4 linked regions of the Elephas maximus indicus genome follow. The protein of the gene in region 1 purifies or fractionates together with the protein of each later gene. This does not show direct contact. Links are inferred from orthologs where the notes say so. Each region holds a gene or a part of one and is shown on either strand. Other genes may lie near its edges. The genes, in order: SPAST, NUP107, NUP160 and NUP43.

What was found.
Region 2: the proteins of SPAST (region 1) and NUP107 purify together in Homo sapiens (affinity purification with mass spectrometry; 3 studies listed by BioGRID and IntAct, counting the BioPlex papers as one, with this or other methods). This does not show direct contact. The link is inferred for Elephas maximus indicus from reciprocal best matches to the Homo sapiens genes SPAST and NUP107.
Region 3: the proteins of SPAST (region 1) and NUP160 purify together in Homo sapiens (affinity purification with mass spectrometry; 3 studies listed by BioGRID and IntAct, with this or other methods). This does not show direct contact. The link is inferred for Elephas maximus indicus from reciprocal best matches to the Homo sapiens genes SPAST and NUP160.
Region 4: the proteins of SPAST (region 1) and NUP43 purify together in Homo sapiens (affinity purification with mass spectrometry; 3 studies listed by BioGRID and IntAct, counting the BioPlex papers as one, with this or other methods). This does not show direct contact. The link is inferred for Elephas maximus indicus from reciprocal best matches to the Homo sapiens genes SPAST and NUP43.

The regions. Positions count from the first base shown.
Region 1 is NC_064844.1:35,589,750-35,597,527, reverse strand, and holds the start of SPAST (spastin), read left to right. Parts: upstream 1-4,289; 5' UTR 4,290-4,566; coding exon 4,567-4,981; intron 4,982-7,778. UniProt on the Homo sapiens protein: ATP-dependent microtubule severing protein that specifically recognizes and cuts microtubules that are polyglutamylated.
Region 2 is NC_064822.1:129,494,159-129,502,490, forward strand, and holds the start of NUP107 (nuclear pore complex protein Nup107), read left to right. Parts: upstream 1-4,940; 5' UTR 4,941-5,025; coding exon 5,026-5,033; intron 5,034-7,316; coding exon 7,317-7,408; intron 7,409-7,890; coding exon 7,891-7,977; intron 7,978-8,332. UniProt on the Homo sapiens protein: Plays a role in the nuclear pore complex (NPC) assembly and/or maintenance. Required for the assembly of peripheral proteins into the NPC. May anchor NUP62 to the NPC. Involved in nephrogenesis.
Region 3 is NC_064825.1:103,190,489-103,198,849, forward strand, and holds the start of NUP160 (nuclear pore complex protein Nup160), read right to left. Parts: upstream 3,222-8,361; 5' UTR 2,926-3,221; coding exon 2,826-2,925; intron 2,565-2,825; coding exon 2,453-2,564; intron 1-2,452. UniProt on the Homo sapiens protein: Functions as a component of the nuclear pore complex (NPC). Involved in poly(A)+ RNA transport.
Region 4 is NC_064819.1:221,024,230-221,031,646, reverse strand, and holds the start of NUP43 (nucleoporin Nup43), read left to right. Parts: upstream 1-3,941; 5' UTR 3,942-3,989; coding exon 3,990-4,109; intron 4,110-4,435; coding exon 4,436-4,558; intron 4,559-5,449; coding exon 5,450-5,527; intron 5,528-6,700; coding exon 6,701-6,881; intron 6,882-7,417. Other genes in the region: PCMT1 (protein-L-isoaspartate(D-aspartate) O-methyltransferase), read right to left, coding at 572-800. UniProt on the Homo sapiens protein: Component of the Nup107-160 subcomplex of the nuclear pore complex (NPC). The Nup107-160 subcomplex is required for the assembly of a functional NPC.

The sequences.
Region 1 (7,778 bases):
TTGAAAATAAACAATTCCTTTTATGTCTCCCAGCATTCACTCAGTGCTAACAGTCCGCATTATTCTGCTCTCCGTGCACACAGTATGCGCTGGCCACTGTAAATATAGAAATTTAGTACATATACACCCAAGTATTTTTTTTAGAGTGCTGATTGAATACATCCTCTGATAATCTAGATTGCTATCCTAGGGCTTTCATTTAAAATTCTCTGTTAACTGATTCTGTTTATTAGTCCATAGCACCATACCTTCAAAAATCAAGTTGAAGAGGTCAGGTAACAATTTATATTCTTACACCTACTACTATTTCAAAACCATGAGCTCATTCACAGATACATTTACTGAAGTAACAAAACCTCTCTAAACTAGATAATCTCAAACTGGTGACACAGTTTTGTTTTTAATTTGTTTAGTAATTTTGAGCCAGTGACTCCCAGCCCATAGATTTCACATAAAAAATTACAATTCTGATTTATCTTGAAAAATTAGAAAAATCTGGCAACATTAGGTCCCACATTCCTGAAAGGCACAAATCAGCTGGAACTGACTAACAGCTACCCTGATTACCTGGGGTATACTCCTCTCCAGTTTCTCACAGTTTCCGTCATTCACAACATATATGTTATTGCTGTTGAAGTTTTTTGTGACCATTGCATTAGACTGTAAAACTGGTTTTGTTCCCTACTGTAATCCTGGCACCTTCTTCATTGGCTGACACATTGTCTGTGCTTAGTACACATTAGCTGAACGAAATGGTTGAATAATTTGTGCCACAAAGTGGCCTCAATGTAGAAAAATAACTTGTTCACAATTTTAAGTTGTTAACACAACCATCGGATAATAATCTCCTAATTGTTACTCTCCTCCTCCCATTCCTCATTCCCAACTATGTCTTTTAATTTTTTTCTCTATTTTACATTTTCTTTTTCAAAAGCAGCTCTCAGCTCTAGGTGTGACATTTTATTTCACTTTTCTTTTTTTAATTGAAAAGAGGTCTTTAATATCTGCCATTGGTTCCTATATCAAATAATCTAACATTTCTCAAGCTGAAAATTCAGGGAAATACTTAGGGGCTGAAATATCAAAAAACAAAACAAGACAAAAAACACCACATTTGGTGCTAGGTGCTTTTGGATATAAATTAATGGGTTAAAGCGATAAAGTGACTGAATGTCCGAGTTAGCACAGAACTCAGCTACTCCTTTTTGTCCTGGTGAAACTAGTCCAGATCCCATTCAAGATTAAGTGTCCTGGAAGCTCTTACCATCTAGAAACTGGGAGGCTGTCACACAGCAGGTTAAACGGTTAAGAAGGTTAGGATCTTCAGACCAGGCTGATTATAAGGCCAAGGTGATGCTAAGGCACTATTTTTCTTAAGACAAATTTAGGAAGATTTTAATTCAGAAAATGGATTTGAGGCTGGGATATAATTCTAAAGGGCAGCAGACGTGAACTGAGAGCGCTGAAAATTGAGATCTCAGTAGAGCCTGAAATCTAGAGTGGCATTGCAGGTATAGTGGCAGAAACAGAAATAATATTTATTGAGTCCTGTTATGTTGCAGGTACTATGCTAGTTTTAGGTACCTTATATCATTTTGTAATTCTTATTCCATTTATTTTACAGAGAAAGGAGTTAAAAAACTTGCTCCTATAACACAACTAGTAAGCATGAGGTATTTGTAAACTTCACATTGTCAACAATGGGGGAATTGTATCACTTAGGATTACTTAGTTTTAGGCAACAGGAAACTATTATGGCTAACTTCAACAGAGAAAGAGAGAAAAAAGGGAGATAGAGATGGGTCTATGGAGAGGGTAAGAGAGAAAGGAAGGGAGAGAACGAGGGAGGAAGGACAGGAAGAGAGAGGGAGAGGAAGAGAAAGAGAATATAGTTTATTGGATAGGTAGCATAACCAAGTGACCATGAACCCAGGCAGCTCTGAGTATCTCAATAGGATGAACTGATGGGCCAGCTCTTTTAGAGTACATAATTCCAACTACCTGTTATCCCAGTTTGTTTTCACCCCAGGTTCCAGTTCCCAGTTGCCCTGGTCAAGTTGTGCTGACTTCCACTATATTTTGTGTGGTCTTTTCCATCACCAAAGTTAACACTTGTCTACTATCTTGTTAATGATTTCCTCTCCATACTCTCGCCTCCCTCGCAACCATCAAAGATTATTTCTTTCTGTGTGGAAACATGTTCGTATTTTTTTATAATAGTGGTGTCATGCAATATTCATTCCTTTGTGATTGACTTATTTCACTCATTATAATGCCTTCCAGATTCATCCATGTTGTGAGATGTTTTGCGGATTCATCATTGTCCTTTATTGTTGTGTAGTGTTCCATTGTTTGTATGTACTATAATTTATCTATTCATTAGTTGAAGGACACTTAAGCTGTTTCCATCTTTTTGCTATTGTGAATGATGCTGCAATGAACATGGACGTGCATACATCTATTCGTGTGATAGCTCTTATTTCTCTAGGAGATATTCCTAAAAGTGGGATTACTGAATCATATGGTATTCCTATTTCTAGCTTCTTAAGGAAGTGCCATATTGTTTTCCACAATGGTTGTATCATTTTACATTCCCACGAGCAGTGTGTGAGGGTTCCAATCTACTCACAAACAGCATTTGTTGTTTTTTTTTTTTTCTCAATGCCATTCTTTCAGGAGTGAGACGGTACCTTATTGTGGTTTTGATTTGCATCTCTCTACTTGCTAATGATTGCTAGCATCTTTTCATGTATTTGTTAGCTGCCTGAATGTCCTCTTTGGTGAAGTATCTGTTTATGTCCTTTGCCCATTTTGTGGTTGGGTTGCTTATCTTTTTATTGTTTAGTTGTTAAAGTTTTCTGTATATTTTGGAGATTAAACCTTTATCAGATATGTCACTGCCAAAGATTTTTTTCCCAGTCTGTAGGTACTCTTTTTACTATCTTGGAAAAGTAGTTTGATGAGCATAGGTATTTAAGTTTTAGGAGACACAGTCATCTAGTTTATCTTCTGGAGTTTGTGCATTTTTAGTTATGCTTGATATGCCATTTATACCATAAATTAGGGCCCCTAGTGTTGTCCCTATGCTTTCATGAACTTTATAATTTTAGGTTTTACTTTTAGGTGTTTAATCTATTTTGAGTTCTTTTTTTGTGTACGGGGTGAGGTATGGGTTCTGTTTCATTTTTCTGCAAATAGATATCCAGTTTTGCCAGCACCCTTTGTTGAAGAGACTATCTCTTCTGCCTTTAATGAACTTCAACCCTTTGTCAAAGATCAGGAGTCCATAGATGGATGGATTTATTTCTATGGTCTTGATTCTGTTCCATTGGTCTATGCATCTGTTACTGTACCAGTACCAGACTGGTTTTACTACTGCAGCTGTATACTAGGTTCTGAGATCAGGTAGTGTGAGGCCTCCTACTTCATTGTTTTTCAGTAGTGTTTTACCTATCTGGGGGGATTTTCTTTACCATATAAAGCTAATTAGTTTTCCATCTTGTTAAAGAACATTGTTGAAATTTGGATCAGGATTGCATTGTAGCTACAGTATGGACATTTTCACAAGTCCTATTCGTGAGCACGATTATGCTTTTCTATTATTAAGGTCTCTTTTGTTTCCTTGCACTAATGTTTTATAGTTTTCTTTTTATGAGTCTTTTACATCCCGAGTTATGTTTATTCCTAAGTATTCCATCTTTGGGGGCGCTATTATAAATGTTATCCTTTTCCTGATTTCCTTCTCTGAGTTCTCATTAGTGTAGAAAAACCTGGGTGATTTTTTATGTGATCTTATACCCGCCACTTTGCTGAATCCTTCTATTAGTTCCAGTAGCTTTCTTGTGGATTATCTGGGATTTTCTATATACGGGTTGCTTTTTAAATGGAACTCAGAGCAATCACCCTTTGGAGAAGACTTGAGTCAACTGGCAGAAAATGACGAAAGAAACGTTAAGTACAGAAAACCTAAACATTGTGAGATATGAGCCCTGGGAACTGGCCGAGGGACCCTGAGAACAGTCGCCCCTCCCCTGGGCTGATTGCCAATGTTCCTGGCTATGAAGGAGTCAGCAGCCTCGGTGCCCGAAGTCGGCAGGCTCAGAACTGCACGCTATGACCGGCAGTTACTCTGGGAACTGGCGCCGCTCACGCGCACTAGAACCCAGGTCGACGAAGATGGCGCTTTAGAAGGCCGCCCAAGAAATACAGGGAAAGACGTGCGCGTGCGCGCCAGTGAAAGACACGAGAGGAGGGGCGTGCGCGTGCGCGCCAGGGAGAGACACGGAGGAAGAGACGTGCGCGTGCGCGCAGCTGTAGCACTGAGCCACCAGGCACTCCGGAAGACAGAGGGAGGTAGGGGTGGAGCAACTGCTGGTGTCAGACTCCCGCATGAAAATGGCTTGTTCTTCTGACTGAAGAAGCCGGCGGGCAACGCGTGGAGCTGCCGAGCTCTGGGGCCAGCGGGCGCGCGGGGGTTTGTGGCCATCGCCGTGGCCGCCGCCGTGGCTTGGTCATCGTGGTTCTGCGGGAGGCGGGTTATGGCGGCGGCGGCAGTAGGAGCTGTGGATGAATTCTCCGGGTGGACGACGGAAGAAGAAAGGCTCCGGCGGCCCCAGCAGCCCGGTGCCTCCCAGGCCTCCGCCCCCCTGCTCGGTGCCCGCCCCTTCCGGCGCCGCGCGGGCCTCTTCGCCCGGGTCGCCGCATAAGCGGAACCTGTACTACTTCTCTTACCCGCTGTTGGTGGGCTTCGCCCTGTTGCGCTTGGTAGCTTTCCACTTGGGGCTCCTCTTCGTGTGGCTCTGCCAGCGCTTCTCCCGCGCCCTCATGGCCGCCAAGAGGAGCTCCCGGGCCGCGCCGGCGTCAGCCCCGGCCTCGCCCCCGGTGCCTGTGTCAGGCGGTGAGGCTGACCACGTTCGAGCCTTTCATAAGCAGGCCTTCGAGTACATCTCCATTGCCCTGCGCATCGACGAGGACGAGAAAGGTATGGTGACAGGGGGCCAAGGGGAAGGGGAAGCGCCGGGAAGCAAGGGGGTGGGGTCGCAGAGGGAGGGTAACACCTGCGTCCGTTTGCTGCGGGAGGGGGCGATGCATCCCCGGAACTGTGCCATTAGCTTTTCACGTGTTGTGTCATTTAATTCTTATAATCAATAATCCTATACGGTAAAGGTGCTGTTGCTGTCACCATTTTATAGGTGAAGAAACTGAGGCTTTATATATGTATGGGTAAAAGCGGGTCATTCCAGACCTATGCTAATAGCTAATGAACATTAGACGGATTCATATTACGTTTTAAAAATCCCTCTTTTCATTCTACCTCCAGTATGCTGAGATGTTGCTTTTCCTTCCAACTCCCAAGGAAACCCACTTTTCCACCATGTCTCAGTTAGGTACTCACTTGTCTTATCCATTAGTGAAAAAGGAGCAATCTACCGTTCATTTTTAGTGTCCGTCTACATTACCAATTCCAGAAACTGTTCCAGGATTTCAGTCTTGTTGAAACCGGTTTCCTTGGTGGGCCTAGTAGTGAAGAGTAGGGTATAGGGGAAGGGGGGGTACTCATCTTGGTTTTGGAATGTGTTGTGGATTGAATTGTGTCCTTCCAAAATATGTTGTAAATTCTAATCTCTATGCCTCTGGTTATAATACCATTTGGGAATGTGTTGTTTTTGTTGTGTTAATGAGGCAGGGTTAGTTTAGAGTGTTTTTTGAGTCAATCTGTTATGACATATAAAAGAGATTAAGCAAGTGAGCAAGCAGAGATGGGGGAAGATTGATGGCAAGCCACATAGAGTTCTCCAAGACACTGGGAAACGAGGTGAAGAGATAAGAACCTTCCCCCAGAGCCCACGCAGAGAGAAAGCATTCCCCTAGAGCCAGTGCCCTAAATTCAGACTTACAGCCTCCTAAAATGTGAGAAAATAAATTTCTGTTTGTTAAAGCCATCCAGTTGTATTTCTGTTACAGCAGCACTAGATAGCTGGGAATTTAAGGGCAGAGTGAAGGTTAAGAGACTTGAACAATAGAGATGCATTTAGGAAAAGAATACTATGGGTTTATTATGGTAGGAAGTTTTTTGTTAATGGTTCTGTTCTCCACCATCTCTTAGGAACATCCAGGATCTCTTGGGGAGGATGAAGAGGGGTACCATGATCCCTTCCTTAGAGAAAACCCCTTTGCCATTGAGTCAATTCCGACTCACAGCAACCCTATAGGATAGAGTAGAATTGCACCATAGAGTTTCCAAGGAGCGCCTGGTGGATTTGAACTACTGACCTTTTGGTTAGCAACCCTTGCTGTTTTTATTACAGTATCATATTACAGTAGGGTCCTCTGAAGTTTACTAATCTAGACCAAAGACATTTTAGAATAGAGGGAATGTGTTTTCGAGTGGATTATTTTAATTAGTATATTTAGGAAAAGAATGCCAGCATATTCAGGGAACTCTTAGTTAACACTGGTTGATGGGAGTTAGAAGTAGGGATGAAAGGCGAGATCAAGGACAATCTAGGTATTGCAATCTTGGGCTCTTATATTTAAAGAAAAAGCAGTCCCATGTGAAGAATAAATGACCAATAGAATGCAGACCTTGGTTTCATGCTGATGACTTATCTACGAGTTTCACTGTTAAATCCTCTTCAAAATATTTTTTAAGTATAAATATTTTCAGTGATGTGTGTATAGGGTCGCTATGAGTCGGAATTGACTCAACGGCATCGGGTTTTGGTGTTCCACATATTTCACTCTTTTTTGACTGATAATGTTTCTATCATGGATGTCAGAATGGATATGACAACTCTTTGGTTTGAATTCTACAACTGGTACCGTCCTCTGCCAAATTAAATTAGTTCAAACTGAAACAGATGAGTAATATATTCATTTTCCTTTAAAACTGAGTTTATTTTTTCATGTTCTCTTCTCCTTTTTAGCATGTTGAAAATTTTTGTATTTGAGCCTTAATCTAGTTATTAAAAGAGAAAGTTCACATGTGAGGTCTATTTACCTCTCAGCCATCCTTGACAACACAAAATTTTATTCCAAGAGAATTAAATTTTCTCCCTCTCTTATTTTATCAGAGTATACTGTGTATGAAATAAATGGGCTAGGCCATCTTCAAAAACTTTGTAACTGGTAAACCATTAGGCTTTAAGTTAGGGCCAGTAATGCCGCTGCTAACCGAAAGTTTGGTGATTTGAACTTTTACCCAGCAGCTCTGGGGGAGAAAGAGCTGGTTATCTATTCCTATAAAAAGTACAGCTTAGAAAATCTTATGGGGCAGTTCTACTCTGTCACATGCGGCCGCTATAAGTTTGAAGTGACTCAACAGCACCTAACAACAACGTCTGCATTACCATCCCTTTGCAGCTTAACTGCTAAATGTACTGAAAGCCACTGTGCAATTTCAGACTGTAGCAGTATTAGTTAATTGAAACATTTGGTGCCTTGAAATGATAAAAACCAAATTAGATCTTAATAAAGTAGTGTATAAATGTTGTGATTTATATGGCAACTGTTTATTTGGAATTCTAGTTGTACTCAACTTGGGCACTGAATTTTCATGAAGGCCTTAATTTGTCTGAAACCAAACTATTTTAAATAGAGAAGACGAGCACAGCAACTTTTATTTACCTAAAGTATATGAAGTCTGTTATTAAAGCAAGCATAAGTAGATACTAGTTAATGTACACAGCTTTGTATTCTAAGTGTTATTTTTGAAATAAAAAAGCCTCTTCTCCAGTGAGATGTGTTAAGACAGTATTTATGTGATTAATAATTATATT
Region 2 (8,332 bases), on another chromosome or scaffold:
CCTATAGGCTTGGAATTTGTCAAAATAAAAAGTTTGGAAGGAAAAAAAGTAATGGTTTTGATTCCTTCTGCTGCTGGAGGCAGCATTGCTGGAAATCAGACAGTTGAGGTTTGAGTACCTTTGATACAGCTATTTCCTGGCCTTTAGCTGCCTGGGGAACTGTCCTTTCCCAACCCTTTGTGTCAGCTTCTTAATAGTTCTGTGAACTCCTGACACGCTTCCAGTAAACTCCCTTTTGCTTAAGTTAACCACAGTGAATTTCAGTTATTGCAACCAAGAATTCTGAATATAAAACATGTATACAATATATACCACACAAGGATTTCATTCCACATAATTTTAAGGCAATCAAATGGATATATTCTAAAATGTTTGGGGGCAGCACTGTGTTCCTGCCTACTAATGAAAAACGTCAAAAGTGAACCCCAGTGCATTTTTCAACAAGTTTCCTGTTTTTTGAATATGAACTGAATGTATGGCTAATCCTTTGCCCAAAGCAGCTCCTTATGTGCCTTATGGTCAATCATTTCAACTATACCTTATACAAATAAAACACACTGGAATTCAATTGCCAAGGGATGTGTGGCAAGAACCTGAACTACCGGCTCACACTTTGAGTAAACCTGCTGAAGTACTAACAAAAATCATTTAGGACCACGTCTCACTTTCCATAAAAGAACAAGTGCACTGTTTATTGCACAGGAAAATTAGGAGGCAGAGAGAATGAGAGTGCACCAGGGTGTGACTCATCAAGTAGATTACTGATTGCTGTTGTTGTTAGGAGCCATCAACTTGAATCCGACTCATAATGACCCTATAAGTACAGCAGAACAAAACACTGCCTGGTCTTGCACTATCCTCACAATCTTTGCTGTTTGAGCCCACTGTTGCAGCCACTGTGTCAATCCATCTCGTTGAGGGCCTTCCTCTTTTTCGTTGACCCTCTACCAAGCATAATGTCCTTCTCCAGGGACTGGTCCCTTCTAATGTGTCTAAAGTGAGATGAAGTTTCACCATCCTCCCTTCTAAAGGAGCATTCTGGCTGTACTTTTTCCAAGACAGATTTGTTCATTCTTCTGGTACTCCATGGGATGTTCAATATTCTTCACCAACCAACACCATAATTCAAATCCATCAATTCTTCTTCAGTCTTCCTTATTCATTGTCCAGCTTTCACAAGCATACAAGGCGATTGAAAATACTATGGCTTGGGTCAGGCATACCATAGCCCTCAAAGTGCCATCTCTGCTTTTCAACACTTTAAAGAGGTCTTTTGCAACAAATTTGCCCATTGCAATGCAGAGAATACCAGGAAGATGTTTACTTGTGTATTATGGACTATGCAAAGGCATCCAATGGTGTGGATCATAACATATTATGGATAACATTGCAAAGAATGGGAATTCCAGAACACTTAATTGTGTTCATGAGGAACCTGTACGTAGATCAAGAGGCATTAGTTCAAACAGAACAAGAGGATACTGCGTGGTTTAAAGTCAGGAAAGGTGTGCATCAGGATTGTATCCTTTCACCATACTTATACAGTCTGTATACTGGGCAAATAATCTGAGAAGCTGGACTATATCAAAAAGAACGGGGCATCAGGATTGGAAGAAGATTCATTAACAACCCATGATATGCAGATGACACGACCCTGCTTGCTGAAAGGGAACAGGACTTGAAGCACCTCCTGATGAAAGATATAAGACTACAGCCTTCAGTATGGATTACATCTCAACATAAACAAAACAAAAATCCTCACAACTGGACCAATAAGCAACATTATGATAAAAGGAGAAAAGGCTGAAATTGTCAAGGATTTCATTTTACTTGGCTCCACAATCAACACCCATGGAAGCAGCAGTCAGGAAATCAAACAGCACATTGCATTGGGCAAATCCAGTGCAAAAGACTGCTTTAAAGTGTTAAAAAGCAAAGATGTCTCCTTAAAGACTAAGGTGCACCTGACCCAAGCCACGATATTTTCAGTCACCTCATATGCATGAGGACAATGATTAAGGAAGACCAAAGAAGAATTGATGCCTTTGAGTTATGGTATTGGCAAAGAATGTTGAATATAACATGGACTGCCAAAAGAGCAAACAAATCTGTTTTGGAAGAAGTACAGCCAGAATGCTCCTAAAAAGCAAGGATGGCGAGACTATGTCTCACATACCTTGGACATATTATCCAAGAGGGATTAGTTCCTGGAGAAGGACATCATGCTTGGTAAAGTAGAGGGTCAGCGAAAAAGAGGAAGATCTTCAATGAGATGGATTGACACAATATTTGCAACAATGGGCTCAAGCATAACAATTGTGAAGATGGCACAGCACCAGGCAGTGTTTTGTTCTGTTGTACACAGGGTTGCTTTGAGTCGGAACCAACTCGATGGCACCTAATGATAACAACTTACATGGGTGTTGATGGTGGATCCAAATAAAATGAAATCCTTGACAACTTCAATCTTTTTCTCCATTTATCATGATGTTGCTTATTGATCCAGTTGTATTTTTGTTTTATGTTGAGGTGTAATCCAGCTGAAGGCTGTAGTCTTTGATCTTCTTCAGTAAGTGCTTCAAGTCCTCTTCCCTTTCAGCAAGGAAGGTTGTGTCAATTGCATATCACAGGTTGTTAATAAGTCTTCCTTCAGTCCTGATGCCGTCTTCTTCTAGTCCGGCTTCTCAGATTATTTGCTCAGCATACAGACTGAATAGGTCTGGTGAAAGGATACAACCCTGACACACAACCTTCCTGATTTTAAGCCACACAGTATCCCCTTGTTCTGTTTGAAGGAATGTCACTTAGTCTATGTATAGGTTCCTCATGAACACAATTTATTCTGGAATTCCCATTCTTCGCAATGTTATCCATAATTTGTTATGACCCACACAGTCGAATGTCTTTGCATAGTCAATAAAACCCAGGTAAACATCTTTCTGGTAGTCTCTGCTTTCAGCCAAGATCCATCTAACATCAGCAATGATATCCCTTGTGTCACATCCTCTTCTGAATCTGACTTGAATTTCTGGCAGTTCCCTGTCGATGTACTGCTGCAGCCGCTTTTGAATGCTCTTCAGCAAAATTCTGCTTGCACGTAATATTAATGATATTATTCAATAATTTCCACATTGTATTGGATTGCCTTTCTTTGGAATGGGCACAAATATGGATCTATTACAGTTGACTGGCCAAGGAGCCGTCTTCCATATTTCCTGGCATAGATAAGTGAGTGCTTCCAGCATTACATTCATTTGTTAAAACATCTCAATTAGTACTCTGTCAGTTCCTGAAGACGAGTTTTTTTTTTTTGCCAATACTTTCAGTGCAGCTTGAACTTCAGTACCATTGGTTCTTGATCATATGCTACCTCTGGAAATGACTGGACGTCAAACAATTGTTTTTGGTACAATCACTGTGTGTATTCCTTCCATCTTCTTTTGATGTTTCCTGCATTGTTCAATGTTTTTGCCCATAGAAGCCTTCAATATTTCAACCCAATAGGGGGAAATTAACATTTCAGTGATCTACCCTGTGCAGTGTAAATTTGCCATCTTCCTTTTTAATCCTCACAACAACTCTGTAATAAAGGTGTTATCTCCATCTACTGATGAGGAATACTCCAGAGGGTTCAAGCCTATATTACCAACTAACCAATCCACTGCCATTCAGTCAGTAGGAATCATAGCGACCCTATAGGACAGAGTAGAAGTGCCCCACAGGGTTTCTGAGGGGACATCAAAGCCACCTTTATTCAAAACGCCACGGTATTCAAAACATGGAAAGGCCTTCCTGGGAATGATGGCTTCCCAGAATTAGAATGTAAATACTGTTAAAACAAGAGTCATTATTAAGCCAATAATGGAAATTGATTGAGTTTACTTAATACACGATTTTCAACTAGGGAGTTTCAAAGCTGAGAAATGAGAAAACTTCCAAAGACTCTTCTACCCCATCTTATCAACATTGCCATGGAAAAAGGTACAGAGCTGATAAACAATTTGTGGTCAGGAAATTTCATACAGCATTGTCTTGATGAACAATTAAAATAATTACTAATGTATCCTAAAATATAACTCTAGTCTGACCTTTGACGTCTGTTTCCTGAAACTGAATTCTTCAAAACAACACAATGCCCAAGGCAAATTGGTCTTACTTTAATGGTTTACCTAAACCATTGTTTGACTCAAAGGTGACTTTTAGAAACCTATTTTTTCAAGGCTCCAGGTTCAAAAGAAGATCTCAAAGCAATGGCTTGGGTGTGTCACCTCAACTCCATGGACCCCAGAAATCTGGATTTCAGAATTAAATCTGTTCCTCAATGTCTAAGGTGAAACTTCAATAGATCCGTTCGAGACCAGAATATACTTTTTGGCTGGAAGGCAAATAGAGAGCAATACTAACACTTTCATGCTGCTTCTCTTCATAACAAGGAAAAAACACCAAGTAAAAGACAAATAGTAATTATGGAAAACAACTAAGAAACTGTAGGGGGTTACACCACAATTCAAACAAGGTGAGTGGAGTTGAGAGAGACAGGGACCCCTGCGGGGTAGGAAGATCTCCAACGTCTGAATTCCAAGTCCTGGCTCATTCTGACCGAGAATACCAGAAAATGGCTTCATATTTTCTTATACAAGCAGTGTACGTCGACATGCTTCCCAACATGATAACCCAGCCCTTGGACTACTCCCACAAACATCAGTCAGGCGAAGTGGCGGCTACAAGTAACGGCCAAGCCTGGTGAGGCCCCGCCCCTCCCCGGCCTGGTCAGGTCCCGCTCGAGTCCAAAACTGTCATGCCTTTGCGCCTGCGCCAGCTGGGTCTGCGGCGGTAGACGGAACAAGTCGCGCATGCGCTAGATGGAGTTTTTGCCTTTCTCCTCCCACTTATTTCCTCTGGGGATGGGTCAGCGTGGGTATGCTTCCGGGTCCGAGGATTTGCTTCCGGAGAGCGGGAAGGCTGAAACGCGGTGGCTAAACTAGAACCAAGGTTGCAAGTTTTTTGGAGGAGAGGGCTGTAGCCATGGACAGGTCAGTTCACATGGTGACAACCGAGCCCAGAGATTTGCCCCTTCTGTCTATTGGCAGAACGAAATAGGTGAAACCCGACTCAGGAAGCCCAAGAGGTCCCGGTTGCTTCCCCCAGGACTCTTCCCGGACTGGGAGACTTGCAGCTGACGGAGGAAAGGCCTCTGGGTGTGGGTTGGGGGATGGAGAGTACGGGTAATAATAATCCTCTGCTTTCCTACCGGGGCCCTGCGACCTATTCGGCGTTTTGGCGCCACATCATTTTCTGCTCTTGGGGTGGGCAAGGTAAGTAGCGGCTGCAGATTCGAGATGCTAAGTGACCTGCCGGAGATCGCAAAGCCAGTCAGTGACAAATTGGAATCTCAGCCCAGAATTTGATTCCAAATCCCAGCAGATGGTTATTGAGTTCCTTCTATGAGCCAGCACTGTGCTGGCCGCTGGCGACAAAGATGAGTTAATCAAGGTCCTTTGCCTCGGGGGATTCTTTGTGTATCGAGGGAGACTACTAAGCAGTGGTCAGGCTCTCTGCTGCTAACCAAAAGGGCAGTGGTTCAAACCCACCAGCTGCTGTGCAGGAGAAAGATGGGGCAGTCTGGTTCTCTAAATATTGCAGCTTTGGAAACCTCATGGGGCACTTCTGCCCTGCCCTCCAGGATTGCTATGATTGGAAATCAACTCGCTGGCAATGGGTTTTAACTACACAGTATAAAGTGATAAATGTTTTGTAATGCACGCTCGTTGACGTAAATGAGGGAAGCATAGTCTCCCTGTCAAGGGAGGTAGCAGGAAGGCCTCTCAAAAGAGGTAGCTTTCAAATTAGTCTTTGAATAATAGTTGTTGTTAGGTGCCATAGATTAGATGCCAGCTCATAGCGATCCTGTGTACAACAGAATGCAACACTGCCTGGTCCTGCGCCATCCTCACCATCTTTGCTATGTTTGAGCCCATTGTTGAAGCCACTGTCAGTCCATCTTATTGAGAGTCTTCCTCTTTTTCACAGACCCTCTACTTTACCAAGCATGATGTCCTTCTCCAGGGACTGATCCCTCCTGATGACATATCCAGAGTATGTGAGACAAAGTCTCACCATCTTCGCTTCTAAGGAACTTTCTGGCTGTGCTTTTTCTAAGACAGATTTGTTCTGGTCAAAATTACCCATTGCCGTTGAGTCTCTTCGAACTCGACGACCCTATAGGACAGAGTAGAACTGCCCCACAGGGTTTCCAAGGAGTGGCTGGTGGATTCAAACTGCTGACCTTCTGGTTAGTAGGATAGCTCATAACCACTGTGCCACCAGGGTAAATAGAAGAACCAAATTTTAAACCTGAATCTGTGTGTCTCCATTGCTGGAGTTCTTAACCTCAGGCTGCTTGTAGGCAGGTAAGTGTTCACCAGGTGGACAAGAGGGCAAAAGTAGACCTCTGTAAAAGGGACAGCATGTACAAAGATGTGAGAGTATGAAGGTGCTTGCTCTGTGTACCTGAATGGTCACATGCAGTGTATGTTTGTATGGAGTAATGTTTGGTGCTCAGACTGGATTGGTAAGCTGGAGTCAGGTTGTAAATACCGGGCTAAGGAATTTGGACTGGATTCTATAAGCCATAAAGAGAGCTATCAGGGTTTTAAGTGGAAAAAAAGCATATTCGATATGTGTTTTAAAAGAGGCCTCATAATCTGTACTGTTTAGCTTCTAGACCTTCAGGTGAGAGTGGTAGGGGTGATCTGGAGCGTTAGAGATTACAGGTAGTGAGAGAGGAGATACTGCGAGAGGAGATGCCTTATTGCACCATATCGAGAAATGACTTGAAGGGTCATTTCTCTCCAGTTCGCTAGCATTCTTTTTTACTTATTTCACCAGCTCAAGCAACACATTTTTCCTTAGTACCCATGCTTTAAGGTACTTTGGAGACTACGGAAGATCCTTTAAGATATGGTCCCTGCAGTTAGAGAACATCTCAATCCAGTAGGGGAAAGATTTACATTCATTAAGCAGTTATCTAAAACAGTGTTATTTTAATACAGATTTCAAGAGTTGAAGTAATTCCCTAGGAGAAAACTTTAATGTAGTAAAAGTCAAAGAAGCCTTTGTGCTGGTAAGATTTGAGTGTGATTGAGGCTTAATCAGAATTTGGCGTGAAGAGGGCGTTCTAAACAAAAAGATCAAAGTCTTGGCTACTGGAATTACCTATACCTTGACTGACTCAAGGTCCTTTATCATGATGTTAAAGTTCTTTCTGAATGCTACATTTTCACTTTATTCACATTTCACTTTATTCACTATTTTAGGAGTGGCTTTGGAGAGATGTTATCCCCTGCGATCCGAGAGGCAGAGGTGACTCGGACTGCACGGAAACAGAGTGCTCAAAAAAGAGTTTTAAGTATCCTTTACATTTTACGCATATTTATAAAAAATTGCAACGTGTTTGGAATCTGGGTTATAGACTTCTTTTTATGAGAGATACTGAACACTAACTGTAATAATAAAATGCTTCAGAAATTAGCTTTGCTCACTCCACAGATACTGTTATTTGGTAATGAGATTAAGATTTATATTTCCCTCAATATAAGACTGTACCATCTTACTGCTGATCGTCATTATGGTTAGCTTCTGCTGACGTTATAGATTTTTTTTTTTTAATTTGGAATTGAACTAAGAACTCATAGTGAACGACAGTGGTCTACTACTGACATCTAAGAATTTAAATGGCAGACAGAATTATTTACTCTTTAAAAAAAGGTAGCTGTAAAATACCTGGTTCTTTAAATATGTATTCCCATGTTTTGTATAGTGCAAATACGGTTAATTCTAACTTAAAGGATCTCTTTTCTACTTGGAAACTTTTCTTAACTTTCCTAACAGTTCGAGCATCGCAAGACGAAAATTGTGCTAACACTACACCAAAAAACCAGGTTATTCCTCGAACTCCCAGCTCATTTCGACAGCCTTGTAAGATTTTTTGCTTTTAAAGCATTGAATGATAACATTAATGATAGCAATTAATATTTATTATACACATAATGAATATATTTGGCTGCAGTATCAATAATAATAATAATGAATGCAGCCACTATTTAATGATTGCAGCTTACTGTGCTTTACATAAATGCACATTAACTGTGGGATAGATAGCATCTCCATCTTACCAAAACGGAAAGTGAGGCTTTGTTGCAGTGGAGTTGACCCTAGCTTATGGCAACCCCAGGATTGGACTATTGTGATCCATAGGGCTTTGAGTTTTCACTGGTTGATTTTTCAAAAGTGAGACTTAAAGAAGCTAAGTAATGTGGGTAACATAGCTAAG
Region 3 (8,361 bases), on another chromosome or scaffold:
TAAGCAAGGAATGCTCCAGCTTAATTGTGCTTACTTACTAATCGGGAGTACATAATTTCACCTGAGTTTCACCACATCTCTGATGTGAAAACCAGGTGAAATTGTGCACTACCAGGCAATAAGTAAGCACAATTAAGCCTGTTCGTGTACCTTGCATACAGGGTAATCAGTCCCTGCCTACAGGTGATCCATTAGTAAACTTAACAAATTCTCCTTCAAAACATTATCCACAATCTGATCATTTCTCACTGCTTCGACTACTACCGCTTGGTTGAAGCCACAATCATTTTGTCTGGATTGTGGCAGCAGCCTCCTAATTGGTCTCTGCTTCCACCCTCCCCCTATTATGCTCTACTCTCAACACAGCAGTCACAATGATCCTTTAAAAACACACATCATTCCTCCACTGAAAACCCTCCAATGGCTTCTTCCCATCTCACTCAAAGGAAAAGCCAAAGCCTTGAGGTAACCGACAAAGCCCTGATCGGGCCCTTGGCTACTTCTCTCTTATCATTCTATTCTTTGTTCACTCAGCTGCAGACTCCTGGTCCCTCGTCATTCTTTGAACACAACAAGAAGCTCCTGTCTCAGGGTTCTCTGCACTTTTTGTCCTTTCCTGGAAGGCTCTACCTGAAATGCTCTCCTCCCAGATATTCTCATTTCCTCTGCTCAAATGCCAGGTTATCACTGGGTCCTGCCCAACCACCCTATATAAAATGGTAACTCCTGTAGGCATTTCCTTTCCCTTTCACCTGCTTTCCTCTATTCTACTTGTTTTGTTGTTGTTATTTATTGCCTACCTCTCAACGAGAGTGGGAATTTTGCTATATTCCCAGTCCTAAACATTTTTTGGAACATAGTAGACACTCAAAAATATTTCTTAAATAAATGAAACTTGTATTTCTAACACATTATATCTAAAACGTGAATCTCTCTTCTGAGCCTCCGCTCCGTAAATCCCAACATGTACTTGTCATTTCCATGGGGCTGTTGCACAGGCACTTCAAATTTGGTACATACCAAAGTATTGCTCTCTCTCCAAAACTCATTTTCTGTATCTCAGTAAATGGCAAGAACACCCCCCGCCCCGCAGTATCTGGTTAGTCACATCAGAAACCTGGGATTTGTCCTTGCTCTTCCCTTCCCCCAATATTCAATCTATGACCAAGACCTAGCAAATCTACCTTCCACACATATCTCAAACACATACATCTATTTCTCTTTTCTTAGCCACTCCCACAACACAAGCCACCAGCATCTCTTACTTAGTCCATTACAAAAGCAAATTGTTCTTTTCTATTACCCCTACCCAACCCAAGTCCATTTTCACACATTAGACTTCATCTTTTAAAAATGCCATTTTGATCATGTTAGTGACTCTTTAAAAACCTGTCAGTGACTGCTCAATATATTGTGGATAAAAATCCAAAATTCTTAAAATGGCTTGAGGAGGATCATTTGTGGTCTGACTGAGTTCTGCCTCAGCATCTCTCCCACCACTTACTCCTATACCCACTGTAGTCAAGCCACACAGGCTTTTGGTCAGTTCCTCAAACCTCTCAAGTTCTTTCTACTTCATGGCCTTTGCATATGTTGATCCTTCTTGATGGACGGCTTGCCTTCTCCAATGCCTCACTAACCTTCCATCCTTCAGATCACAGCTTAGCTGTGACTTTCTCAAAGGCCTTCCCAGCCCAATCTAAATTAGGTCCTCCCACTGACCTCTTACAGCCCCCGTACTTTTCCTCCGGGGCAGGTACAAAATTTTGTATTTATATGCCTATAATAGTGGTCATTAGGTTAATGTCTCTTTTCTTCCACAAAACTGCCTCATGAAATCTAGGTCTATATATGTTCTTTCCCTACTACAACTCTAGCGCCTAGCACAGTACCTGCACTGATTAAAAGCCCAACAAATAACTATTAAACGAATGACTTAATCAGGGAGTAAATAAATCCATTACAGTTATATGCACTTAGTGTCTTTATCTACAATACGGACAAGGCAATATCTAACTCACAGTCGTTTCAAGTATTAAATGAGATCATGCATATGACAGTATAAATGCAGGTTTGTTTTGTTTTTTGCTCACCATTTTATCCTTGTATCTACCATAATGCCTAACATGTTGAAGTTCAACAAATATTTACAGAATGAAGGAAGGTATAAAGTACTATAAAACATAACGGGTTCATGTCTAAAACCTGGTCTTTGGGGGCTTTATTCCCTAAGCTACATTCCCTCTGCTTTTAGTGCTGCCTGGACTGTATCTCTCCTAGAACTCTCTGTCTCCTTAATTTTCCCATGCTTCAGACATGAATTGAAAACCGGCTTTTTCCTTTCCTACCTGTCGATTATCATTCCGGAAAATGACACTTTGGAAATAGCCACAAAAATCCAGACACCGAACAACCCTACCTTCCAGGGGGGTTTGGCGAACACGGCACTCACCAATGAATGAACCTGTTTCTGGTGACGGAGAATAATTTAGCACTTTCCACATAGTAGAAGCCTCCCGCGCTCTCACTGTATTTCACCGCTCCGGCCACAGCATTCACAGTCCCTGCAAAAGGAGCGCGGTCAGCCTGCACACGTGGTTCTCTGGGGATGACAGGGGTTGAGGTCGCTGAGGAAGCAAAGGGTAAGACAAGCATGCAGAAAGAAGAGGATGACAAGAGCAAAAAGCCGGACACCGGGAAAGCTCTGATCCAGGGCCCGGAGGCATACAGACTCGGAAGAATGAACTGGGGCACGGGAAAGATACCAGGGGCCCCATGGAAGGAGCCAGAGAAGAAGATCGCGGCCTCCCTGGTCGCTTCCGTACCAACGCCGCAGACCGTGAATTCCCGAAAATGCCTCGGCCTTTCGCGCTCGGCTCCGCTTAGCTCCAAAAAGCTCCGTTCCATGGCTCCCGCCGCCGCCATCTTCCCGCCGCAGCCGCGAGGCCCGACGGGATACGGACAAGGCCGTGCGGCAGTCGTCACTTCCGGGGACGAGGTGAGCGGAGTCGTGAGCAAGTGAAGAAGCACGGAGAGGAGAAAGGCAGGCCGGACCCTCCTCCATTGCAAGGCTGCCACAGAGTGGGCGAGAGAATGAGGATGGGCAGGGCGGGCGTCAGCAGAATAAAGGGAAGGAAGTCGAGTCGGTCTGCGACAGCCTTCGAGTGGCGGGCTAGGGTGCCTCCGGAGTGTTGCTCTTTCCCTAGCGGCCTTAGAGCCGGGGGCGGGGCCGGGCTTGTGGCCTTTTTAAAAATGCGGACGCGGGCTTTGGGGCTGAGGCTGCCAGGAGGAGCGAGGTCGGCTGAGGGCGGGCCGGTGGGCGTCGCCTCCGCATCCCAAGTTTGCTGTCACTTCCTCCTCCGTTCCGAAGCCCTGGTGGTGCACTGGTTAAGAGCTGGGCTGAGGGAAATGTGTTGGTTCGAACCCACCAGCTGCTCAGCGGGAGAAAGATGTAGCAGCCTGCTTCTTACAGCCTTGGAAACCCTATAGCTTTGTTCTTCTCTGTCCTGTAGGGTCGCTGTGAGTCAGAATCCACTGGATGGCATTGGTCTACCCTCCACAGGGTGTCTTCTGTAAATGTCGGCCTGATCTCCCTTTCTTTACCCTTCGGAGACACCTGGGGTGGAAGGAGAGGCAGTGACGAACAACGGAACCTTTTTTCTGTTGAAATTTTTTCAAGACACTGTATTCGTGTAGAATGAAACTCAATAACATGTTAAACATTGAAGCTGCAATCTGCTGTTTGATGTTACGGTTACCTAAGCGCTGCTCACTGGCACGCGTAAAGGCGTTCGCCTTTTGTTCCACCCCTGATCTCGCTCTTGGCTGTCAACGCAGAAGGATCTATAGTGGATGTTTAGAAGATGTGGGTTTACACACCATATCTAGGGCTGAGTAGATGCTCAATAATGAGAAAACTGCTAATTTTAAAGAGAAAAGGTTTTTTGTTTAGTGATAACCTTTGTTAAGCACCCCTAACCTTGTATTACCAGAAACGGAAACCTTTCTCTGTCATTCACCATTTCATTCGTCCTATTCTGATGTATTTTTTCCAGCTCATTCCCTCTAAGACACCAAATCCAGCGGTCCCTCCATTCCAACTACAGTCCATTGTTCCTTCACATTTTCACTGTCCCTGCCTTGATGTTTTGTTCTTACTCTGCTTAAATTCCATTAAATCACTTCATTGCCAGCTCTAGCTCTCTTCATCATAGTCTGGTAAAACTGACCACTTTGAATCTGCATCTGAACAGGCTGGATAAAAATACATGACCATGTTGTTGTTAGGCGCCCAATCGGTTCCCACTGGTAGGGACCCCCATGTTCAACATAACAAAGCACTGCTTGGTCCTGCACCATTCTCACAACCACTGTTATGCTTGAGCCCGTTGTTGCAGCCACTGTGTCAGTCCATCTCGTTGAGGGTCTTCCTCTTTTTCGCTGACACTATTTTACCAAGCATGATGTCCTTCTCCTGGGACTGGTGCCTCCTTGATAACATGTTCAAATTATATGAGACAAAGTCTCGCCATTCTTGCTTCCAAGGAGCATGCTGGCTATAGTTCTTCCAAGACAGACTTGTTGGTTCTTCTGGCAGTCCATGGTATATTCAGTATTCTTTGACAACACCGTAATTGAAAGGCATCAATTCTTCTGCCTTATTCATTGTCCAGGTTTCACATGCATATGAGGCAATTGAAAACACCATAGCTGAAGTCAGGTGCACTTTAGTCCTCAAAATGACGTATTTGCTTTTAACACTTGAAAGAGGTCTTTTGCAGTAGATTTACCCAATTCAGTGTTATTCCTCACTGCTGTTTCCATGGGCACTGATTGTGCATCTAAGTAAAAATCCTTGACAACTTCCGTGTTTCCTTTATTTATCATGATGTTGCTTATTGGTCCAGTTGTGAGGACTTTTGTTTTATGTAGAGGTGTAATCCATACTGAAGGCTGTTGTCTTTGATCTTCATCATTAAGTGTTTCAAGTCCTCTTCACTTTCAGCAAGCAAGATTGTGTCATTTGCATATTGTAGGTTGTTAATAAGTCTTCCTCCAATCCTGATGCCACATTCTTCTTCATATAGTCCAGCTCCTGGGATTATTTGCTCAGCATACAGATTGAATAAGTATGGTGAAAGAATACAACCCATATGCACACCTTTCTTGACTTTAAGCCACACAGTATCCTCTTGTTCTATTCTCTTTGTCCAAGTACAGGTTCCTCACAAACACAAGTGTTCTGGAATTCCCATTCTTCACAATGTTATCCATAATTTGTTATGATCCACACAGTTGAATGCCTTTGCATAGTCAATAAAACACAGGTAAACATCTTTCTGGTATTCTCTACTTTCAGCCATGACCCATCTGACATCATCTATGATAGTCCTTGTTTCACATCCTCCTCTGAATCCGGCTTGAATTTCTGGCAGTTTCCTGCCTTCCAAATTTCTTGGCAGAGACAAGTGAGTGCTTGCAGTGCTGCATCTGTTTGTTGAAACATCTCCACTGGTATTCCATCAATTCTTGGAGCCAATGCCTTCAGTGCAGCTTGGACCTCTTCATTTAGTACCATCGCTTCTTGATAATATGCTACCTACTGAAATGGTTGGATGTTGACCAATTCTTTTTGGTATAGTGACTCTGTGTATTCTTTTCATCTTCTTTTGATGCTTCCTGCCTTCTTTAATATTATCCCTGTACAATCCTTCAATATTGCAACTTGAGGCTTGAATTTTGTCTTCAGTTCTTTAAGGTTGAAAAATGCGGAGTGTGTTCTTCCCTTTTGGTTTTCTAACTCCAGGTCTTTGCAGAAGGCAAAGTAAAGTCTTGGGCCACCCTTTGAAATGTACTGTTCAGCTCTTTTACTTCATCAATTCTTCCTTTCACTTTAGCTACTCTACATTCAAGAACAAGTTTCAGAGTCTCCTCTGACATCCATTTTGGTCTTTCCTTTCTTTCCCATCTTTTTAATGACCTTTCTTCATGTATGATGTTCTCGATGTCATTCCACAACTCATCTGGTCTTCGGTCATTAGTGTTCAGTGCGTCAAATCTCTTCTTGAGATGGTCTCTAAATTCAGGTAGAACATATTCAAGGTCGTACTTCGGCTCTCGTGGACTTGCTCTAATTTTCTTCAGCCTCAACTTGAACTTCCATACGAGCAATTCATGTGTTCCACAGTTGGCCCCTGGCCTTGTTCTGACTGATGATATTGGACTTTTTCATCAGCTCTTTCCACAGATGTAGTTGATTTGATTCATGTATTTTCCATCTGGTGAGGTCCATGTGCGTAATTGCTGTTTATATTGTTGAAAAAAGGTATTTGCAATGAAGAAGTCATTGGTCTTGCAAAATTATGTCATGAAATTTCCAGCATTGTTTATATCACCAAGTTCATATTTTCCAACTACTGATTCTTCATCTTTGTTTCCAACTTTTGCATTCCAATCATCAGTAATTATCAATGCATCTTGATTGCACGTTTGATCAATTTCATACTGCAGAAGTCAGTAAATATCTTCAGTTTCTTCATCTTTGGCCTTAGTGGTGGGTGTGTAAATTTGAATAATAGTCATATTAACTGGTCTTCCTTGTAGGTGTATGAAACCATCCTATCACTGACAGCATTGTACTTCAGGATAGATTTTGAAATGTTCTTTTTGATGATGAACACGACACCATTCCCCTTCCCCAAGCATACTAGACAATATGATTTTATGATTCAGAATGGCCAATTCCAGTCCTTTTCAGCTCACTAATGCCTAGGATATTGATGTTTATGGGTTCCGTTTCCTAGACTCATACTTCATACTTTCCAGGTTCCGATTATTAATGGATGTTTGCAGCTCTTTCTCCTCATTTTGAGTTGTGCCACATCAGCAAACGAAGGTCCCAAAAGCTTGACTCCATCCACGCCATTAAGGTTGACTCACTTTGAGGAGGCAGCTCTCCCCCAGTCGTATTTTGAGTGCCTTCAACTTGAGGGGCTTATCTTCCAGCACTGTATCAGACAGTGTTCCACTGCTATTCATAAAGTTTTTACTGGCCTATTTTTTTTTTTTCAGAAGTAGACCACCAGGTCCTTTTTCCTAATCTCTCTTAGTCGGGAAGCTCCACTGAAGCAGTCCACCAAGGGTGACCCTGCTGGTATTTGAAATACTGGTGGGAAAGCTTCCAGTATCACAGCAACATGCAAGCCACCATGGTATGACAAACTGACAGACAATGTGATGGATATGTGACCATACTGATAGCAAAAAAGACATTTAAAAAAACCCAAAAAACAAACTGGTTGTGTGGAGTCAATTCTGACTCATAGTGACTCTATAGAACAGAGTAGAGTGCCCTTGTAGGGTTTCTAAGGAGTGGCTGGGGCATTTAAACTGCCGACCTTTTGGTTAGCAGCCAAGCTCTTAACCACTGCACCACCAGGGCTCCATCTCTTCAGTTGTTGTCAGGTGCCGTTTAGTTAGTTCCAACTCATAGCACCCATATGTACAACAGAATGAAACACTACCCGGTCCTGCGACATCCTCATAATCATTGTGTTTGAGCCCATTGTTGTAGTCATTGTGTCAGTCTGTCTTGTTGCGGGTCGTCTTCTTTTTTGCTGATCTTCTACTTTCCCAAGCATGATGTCATTCTCTAGGGACTGACCCCTCCTGATAACATGTCCGAAGTACGTAAGATGAAGTCTTGGCATCCTCACTTCCAGGGAGCGCTCTGGCTGCGTTTCTTCCAAGACAGACATGCTCGTTTTTTCAACACCACAATCCAAAGGTGTCAGCTCTTTGGTCTTCCTTGTTCATTGTCCAGCTTTCGCATACATATGAGGCAGTTGAAAATACCGTGGCTTGAGTCTAGTACATCTTAGTCCTCAGAGTGACGTCTTTGCTCTTTAACACTTTAAAGAGGTCTTTTGCAGCAGATTTGTTCAATGTAATACGTGGTTTTATTTCCTGACGGCTACTTCATGGGTAGTGTTGATTATGGATCCAAGTAAAATGAAATGCCTGAAAATTTCAATATTTTCTCCATTTATCATGATTTTGCTTATTGGTCCAGTTGTGAGGATTTTTGTTTTCTTTATGTTGAGGTGTAATCCGTACTGAAGGCTGTAGTCTTTGATCTTTATCAGTAAGTACTTCAAGTCCTCTTCACTTTCAGCAAGCAAGATTGTGTCATCTGCGTAACACAGGTTGTCTTCAACCTATCATGATGCCGCATTCTTCTCCACATAGTCCAGCTTCTGGGATTATTTGCTCAGCATACAGATTGAATAAGTATGGTGAAAGGATGCAAACCTGACACACAGCTTTCTTGATTTTAAACCATGCAGTATCCTTTGCTCTGTG
Region 4 (7,417 bases), on another chromosome or scaffold:
CTCATCTTCCTTTCCCTCCCTCTGCCGGTATCAGACAGTGGCATCTCCCTCCAGAGGAAAAACCGGAGGGCGGGGGAGGCAAAATAAGAAAGCAAGCTTGCAGCGAGGTTGATTATAAAGGAGGAAGGTGAGAAAACGCGGGAGACGAGGGTGGGGCCCCGGAGCTCTAGCCCAGTCTCTAGGCGGCCTGGCCACCACCACCCGACCGCGAGGGCACGCCCCTCGCCCGCCAGACCCGGACCAGAGGCTGCGGATTCGAGTGACAGCCCCACCACCTGTGCGGCACTCCCTTCCCCACACCCGCAGGGAGACAACTGCCCCTGCCCACCAGCAGCGGTGCTTTGCTCTTTCTCTCCCCTTCCCCTCCACGTCGCCGATGAGTGACAGGTCCCGGGGGAGGTGATCTCAAACGCACGTCGTTCGGGACTACCGGTGCAAGCCTGCGCCGAAGCCCTCCGACAAGCGCTGGGGGTTAGACAGGTTAGACAGAAGGTTCCAGCTCGGCCCGAGGGGACCTGGTCCAGGCCCGGCCTGCCCTAGTTGCCCCACGCCGGGCGGGGGTGGCACTTACTGCGGAGGTTGTGGATTAGCTCCGAGTGGCTGGCGCCGCCGGATTTCCAGGCCATCGCTAAGCACACCCGGAGCAGGTACAGAACCACCTTCAGGGCGGCGACGGTGCCCAGCAGCTTCCCCAGGAGTGAGACCACTTCCCAAACGGTGACCGCCCCGCTCGCGTCCCCGCTGTGGCCGCCGCTGCTACTGCCGTCGCCGCTCCTGCCGCCACTGCGCGCTCCCGGCATGCCCCGCGGCACGCATGCGCCCTGTGACGCCGCGCGGCCCGGGGTGCGGCCGGGTGGGGCCGGGGGCGGGCGTGGCGGCGTACCCGCGCGCTTGTTGCTGCAGTGGCTGCTCGGGCACCGCAAGGAGAGCGAGCTGAGTCAGCACCGCCGCCGCGGCTGCATGCCCCTTCCTGAGACCTCGGGCTGCGCGCTGCCCCTTCCCGGGGTTCTCCCTGCGGCCACACCGGCTGGGCCTGGGCGCGGTCGGTCGCGTGCCGGGCCGCGGCTGCGGTTACGCAGCGCGGAGGCGGGATGGCCGGGCTGATCTGTGCCGCCTTGTCTGGCGGATCTGGCTTCGCCGCTGCGGGTGGCTCTGCGGTCCCCTCCGGGTCAGCTGTTGCGAGCGGCGGCTTTGCTCCTATAGCTGCCCAGATTGTTAGATGGTGGGCTTCCTCCGTCCCGTTTAGGCCGGTTAGAGTAAGAGCTCCCTTCGAGGGAGCCTGAATAATCACAGCAGAACCCGAGGACGCCAGCCTCTGGCTTTGTGATAAAAACATCACTGGTTAGCAGAGACTTTGGGACCCTGGTTTGTTCTCAGTCCTAAAGCACACATTCAGAGTGGAATGGGGAGGAGGTGATCTGCTCCTTAAAATAATAAAAACGTGAAGATCTACAATTGGTTAAAAATACCTCAGTATCCTATGGTGAATGTGTTATTTTCTCAATACAAGTGTGCGCTTCAGCTAATGATGCCTCACAAATTCCACTGTCAGATTGGGCGCTGGCTTTATTGCTATGAGCTCTGCAGATGATGAGTAAGAGACTGACGGGGAACGTTGCCTGTTGCATCCAAATTGCTGACTCCTGATCAGAGCTGAGTCTGACAATTCAGGCATCATTTAGTTCAGTAGTCTTTTAAGGAAAGAAGCAAAGCTATGTCAAGACATCCTATGCTGCTGCAGCAGCAGCAACTTCCAAATTCTAGTTTTTAACAGACTGTCAAGTGCGGCATGCCGCCCACTTCCAATCCACAATATACCTTGTCTATTTTTAAGGATCCAGTGACATAAATGAAACCACACTCATAAGTGTTTTCCACTTCAACATTAGGAGTAAAAGTGTTAGTTTGGGACTCCAATTAATTTAGTAGTTTTCCATTTCATCTTTCTGCAGCTTCCTGATGGTCTTCTGGTTGGGGAAAACAAAAAAAATGTGACGTTCTTAAGAGGAACGTGATAATTCTCTAAAGCCGACCAAGACTGACTGCATTTGTATGTGATGCTACCATAAGCTGCAACTGTGAAATAGGACTGCCAATATCAGATACAAGTAACAACAGTAACAACATTTTAGAGAAACAACCAACACACAGTTATAAATACCTATAGCAAAGGAGATAAAAAGATGGACAACTCATACCTCTTGTATGCAGTAGAATCTATATTCTAGTCCAAGAGAGATGTATCAAAAGAAAACTATCAATAGAGGTCAAAGTATAAGTGCCATTAGTGGTCTAGTATCAAGCACTATGTATTTAGCTTATCATGACTGGGGTAATCAGGAAAAAATACACGAAGGAACTGATCTGTAAGGGATGTGCTGGATTCTGAGGAAAGAGGAATGGAAGGAATATTAAAGGTAAAACCAAAAGTACAAGGAGCCCTGGTGGTGCTGTGGTTAAGCACCGGGGCTGCTAGGGTTGGTGTCACCCAGTGGTGTAACTCATGATGTCATTCCCCACCCGTCGCCACGGTCCTCCTCCCACCAGACCATGTAGAACCCTTAGTATTGTTTTTTATACTAATGTTATTTGTAAATTGTAATTCCTGTATATCACCCCTTCTTTTCCTTTAATTACTACTTCTTACTCAAAGTTATTGATATAGGTTCACAAATACTAATAACACGATATTATAGCTAAAACACCAGAAAATTTGACAAAATTAGCAACTATAAAAACACCGACAGCGGTGAAAACAACAGTGCATGTTTATAGCTCCTGCAGACAAAACCAAGTGACTTGAAGCATCAATGTGTAATAATGACAGCTTTGGCCAGAGCACATTGGAAGGTTCAAAAAGTAAATTAACATAGAGTTTTAGCCTTGTAGGTATATTAATACATGCAAGCTGAGCTTATGAGAAATGTTTTTGTTATAACTAACTACAGGGATATCTTTATAGATAGTCATTTTGGTGTCACCCACCTCTGACAGTGTCACCCAGTGCCATCTGCACCCCCACCAACTCCCCCTAGTGAAGCCACTGCACTGGGCTGCTAACCAAAAGGTTGGCAATTTGAACCCACCAGCCATTCCACAGGAGGAAAAACTTGGAGATCTGCTTCTGTAATGATTAAAATAATAATTAAAAAAAAGACAAACCTGTTGCCATTGAGTCATTCCAACTCATAGCGACCATATAGCCTGGGAAACCCTGTGGGCCAGTTCTACTCTGTCCTATAGGGTCACTATAAGCCAAAATTGATCGTATGGCAACAGGTCTTTTTTTGTTTGTTTTGCTTTTCCTATTAACCAAAAGCATAGAAGAAAGAACCTATAGTGCTGATTCCTGGGCTGTTGTTAGATATCGCCAGTGCATTCTTTATTATATACACAAATGAACTGGCCAAAGTTACATAGCTGGGCAATGAGCATCAAAACTAGATCTGGAGTCTTCAGAATTCCAACTACAGGCTCTGACAATGTGTATTAACAACTTTGAAGCAAATGAAAAGAGGAAGAGGTTTAGCATAATAAGTTAGTATATTAGCGGAGGTACTTCTATGAGAACTTAAGGATTTTGAATCTTTTTTTGTATGCAGTGAAGTGCAACTGAATGCTTAGGTGTCCCTAGAAGGTGGTGTCTCCTGCATTGATTTTGTTTTACAATATAAATTTGTTTTATATTGCGCAATTATTGCACAAATACATTCTCTCGGTGTCTCTATACCGATGTTGCAGGTTAGGAGAAGGTGTAACACAAGGATGAAGGCACTCCTGCGTCTTTGTCAGAGGTCGGTGAAGATGGGCATTCCCACTTCAATCAGCCTGGGGGACAGGCTTGGCAACACAATCCGCGCAAGAGAATTGGCTCTCCGCAGCCACCGTCTCCTCTTAAGGCCCCAGCCAATCAGAGTCCCCAGAGGAAGGGGCGGGACTGAGAGCCGCGCGCGGTGCTTTTTCCTGTGTCTGCTGCGGTTGCTTTCAGCATGAAGGCGATGTGTGCTAAGTTTGTGTCTCAGAAAATCAGCAAAACCCGCTGGCGACCGGTGCCTCCGGGGAGTTTGCAGACAGCGGAGACCTTCGCTACGGGCTCTTGCGACAACGAGGTACCCCCGCTCCCGGGGCAGGGAGTTCCTGCCTCCCTCCCGTCTCTGGTCTTGGGAACCGCGCCCCTGGTCGCTGGCGCGCGAACCTTCTACTGGCCCTTCTCGTCCTTCCTTAACCCCCTCCCAGTCCCGGCCTCAGTTGCTTTGTAGCTCAGAGCCAGCGCCAGCGATGGTGTGCCTGAGCCTCGTATCGCCTTGTGTGTGAAAACCTTACCATACCTTTGGTCTGAGGTGGTTTTGAAGCAAAGTTGCATGAAGCCAGTAAAAACGTTAATTTCTGAAGTCGGCGTTTATTTAGTTTCGAGATAAAACTTTTTGCTTTACAGGAAAATTATGTTTCATTGTGGTCAATTGGAGATTTTGGAAACTTGGACTCTGATGGAGGGTTTGAAGGAGACCATCAGTTACTCTGTGATATCAGACACGATGGTGATGTAATGGATTTACAGGTAAGCCTGTGTAGTATCCACAAACTAACTTAAAACAACTGAGAGTAATATACTTAGAGGTGCAGAGGACCTTGAAATCTGTCTAAACTTGACAGGAAACGTTCCTCTGTGGGTTAAATGATTTGCCCAACATCACATAGCCACTTAGTGACAGAATCAGGATTTAGGAAAGTGATGTGGATTTAGTCATAGTTTTTTGTTTTTTTTTTTAATGTCCATTTACTATGATGCCAAGCACTGTGTTGGGAGATTTACGTAATAAATTAGTGTAATTCTAATTTCATGGCTGTAAATCAGTGTTGTTCTCTTTGTTTCACCAGTGAGAAAACTGAGACCAAGAAGATCTGTTGAGCATATGCTTTGTGACAAACAAAATAGAAAGCAGCTTACATGGTTTTGTTCTATGAATCCAACCTCCTACGGAGGAATTAGTAGTTCTATTTTAAAAATTAGAGAACTTTCTTAATTTGGCTCAAGTCTCAAAACCAGTGGTGGTACTGCCTCAAATTCTAATCGTGGGACTGGAATTGAGTATTCAAATTCAGGTCTGTACGGCATCTAAGTCCCTCCATTTTATTCTATAGAAAACTTTTTCACCGTGGGAATGATATTTTTCTAAAGCTTTATTATAGTGGTCCAAAACTCAGTCAATTACAGGTTAAGGAGTTTAGAAAAAGGTTGTTGTTCGTTATTTATTTTGCATGCAAATACCTTTCTTTGTTACAGTAGGTTGGCTTTTCAAATCAGTAATCATGTTTTGTTTGCTTGGTATTTACAGGCTTTTTACTTTTTTAAAATTGTAATAGGATTTACTTTTGATTGAGTTAAGCAAATGGGCATCATTCCTACAAATATTTTTGAATGTATAATAAGCAGGATTTTTCTACTTAGTTTTTGGACCAGGAAAGAATTGTAGCTGCTTCCTCAACAGGATGTGTGACAATTTTCCTTTACCATCAGAATAACCAGGTAAAGAATGCTTTGTTTGAAAATTGAATTTGTATTTTAATTATGTTTAGGAAGACTGTGCTTAGAATTACACAAATAATAAAATTTATGGTTTGAAAACATGAAGGGGGAAAATATCACTGTTATATTACCAAACTTTGAGTGGATTAATTTTAGAACCAGGGAAGGTTCCTAGATGGCGCAAACAATTTGTACTCCACAGCTAACCTAAAGGTTTGCGGCTCGAACCTGTTTAGTAGGACCATGGAAAAAAGGCCTATCAATCTGCTTCCATTAAGAGTACAGCAAAAGAAAACCCTATGGAGCAATTCTGCTCTGTAACATGTGGGTTGTTGTGGGTCAGAATTGACTTGACGCTAACAGGTTTGATTTTTTTATTGAAATTGGATATTCCTTACCTTGTTAAATAAATTCCTTTAGTGTAAAAATAATAATACTGGCAGGCGATTTTACTGCAATTCTGCTTTTTAAAGTTCTTTTCTAGAAAGAAAGAGCACCTTCTAGCTCAGATGCCATGAAGGAGGATGCTAACAGCTACTTTGCTTCTGTGGATAAAGAACCCAGGTTTTATTAGAAGAGAAGATATGCTGTGTGAAGACTTGACATTTTCTCAATGCCTTTCTTGTTTGCTAACCCCAAGAGTGCTGACCTTCAGAGCACAGTGGGGAGGGCAGTTTTTAAAAATAGCCCCACTTGCTGTAACACAGTTTTAAGTTGCTAGAACAGAGTGCTTATGTAGGTTTTGGGATTAATAAAGGTCACTTTGTTAATAGGTGTGCCTAGTAAACATGAGACTCATATTGTTAAGTATTTTTTTTAATGGAGTTGTTTAGGAAGAGCTGTAGAAATTTATTTTTTAGATATAGATTAATTCCCTTAAGAATTGTTAAAGAGTTGCTTTTGAACACATAATTAATACCAAAAAACTATATCTTCAGTGAGATGAATGTGGGACATTATTAAACATTCTTTTTGAATCTAATTTTGTATATACAGAGCTTTGATGAAAGTAATTATTAGACTTTAGTGTACTGAAACACAAAGGAGAGAGGAAAGAATTACTCTTTTTCTAGAAGGGTGTAAAGCAGAATCCAAAAATACTCTGGTTGGAGAAGAGTGTTCGTTTTTAAGAACTTTGCTTTGGTTAATGGTATCCTCATATCTTATACCTAGACTCTGTCTGTCAGCCATCAGTGGACAACAGCTCACTGCCACACTGGTCCAGGCAGTCCTTCCTATAGCAGCGCACCATGTACAGGTGTAGCGTGCAACAACCCAGAAATTGTCACTGTTGGTGAAGATGGCAGAATAAATCTCTTCAGAGCTGATCACAAGGAAGCTGTGAGAACTATAGGTAAGCAAAATCATTATATTTCTTTCTCCGTCACATAAGTGAACACGATGCTAGGCGTTTGAGAGATATTAAAATATACAAGGCAGGATCTCTTTATCAAGGCAGTATTTTGATAAGGCTCATATGAATGAGTAGAATAACATGATAACATGACTGCAGAGGAGAGAGAAGTCTTTTTATTAATTTTTTTTGCCTGGAAGGGATTATCAGTAAAGCATCAGGGAATAAGTGACGATGTAGGTTATGGATCTTAAGCAATACTAAAAGGATGGCACATCGGACAGAGGGAATCACTTGGAGGCTGAATAAGACTATTCAGAGAATGACAAAAAGTGTAGTTTGACTTGACCTTAGATAGATAGGAGAAGTGAGAAATGAAGCAAGAAAGGCATATTGAGACCAAGTTGTGAAGAGTCTCTAATGCAAAGCTATAGAGTTTGCATTTTGTTAAGCGAACAGCTAGGGAGCTATCGGAAGTTTCTGAGCAAGGGTGATAAACTCGGCGTCGTGCTTTAGAAGGGTTATTCCAGTGTAAC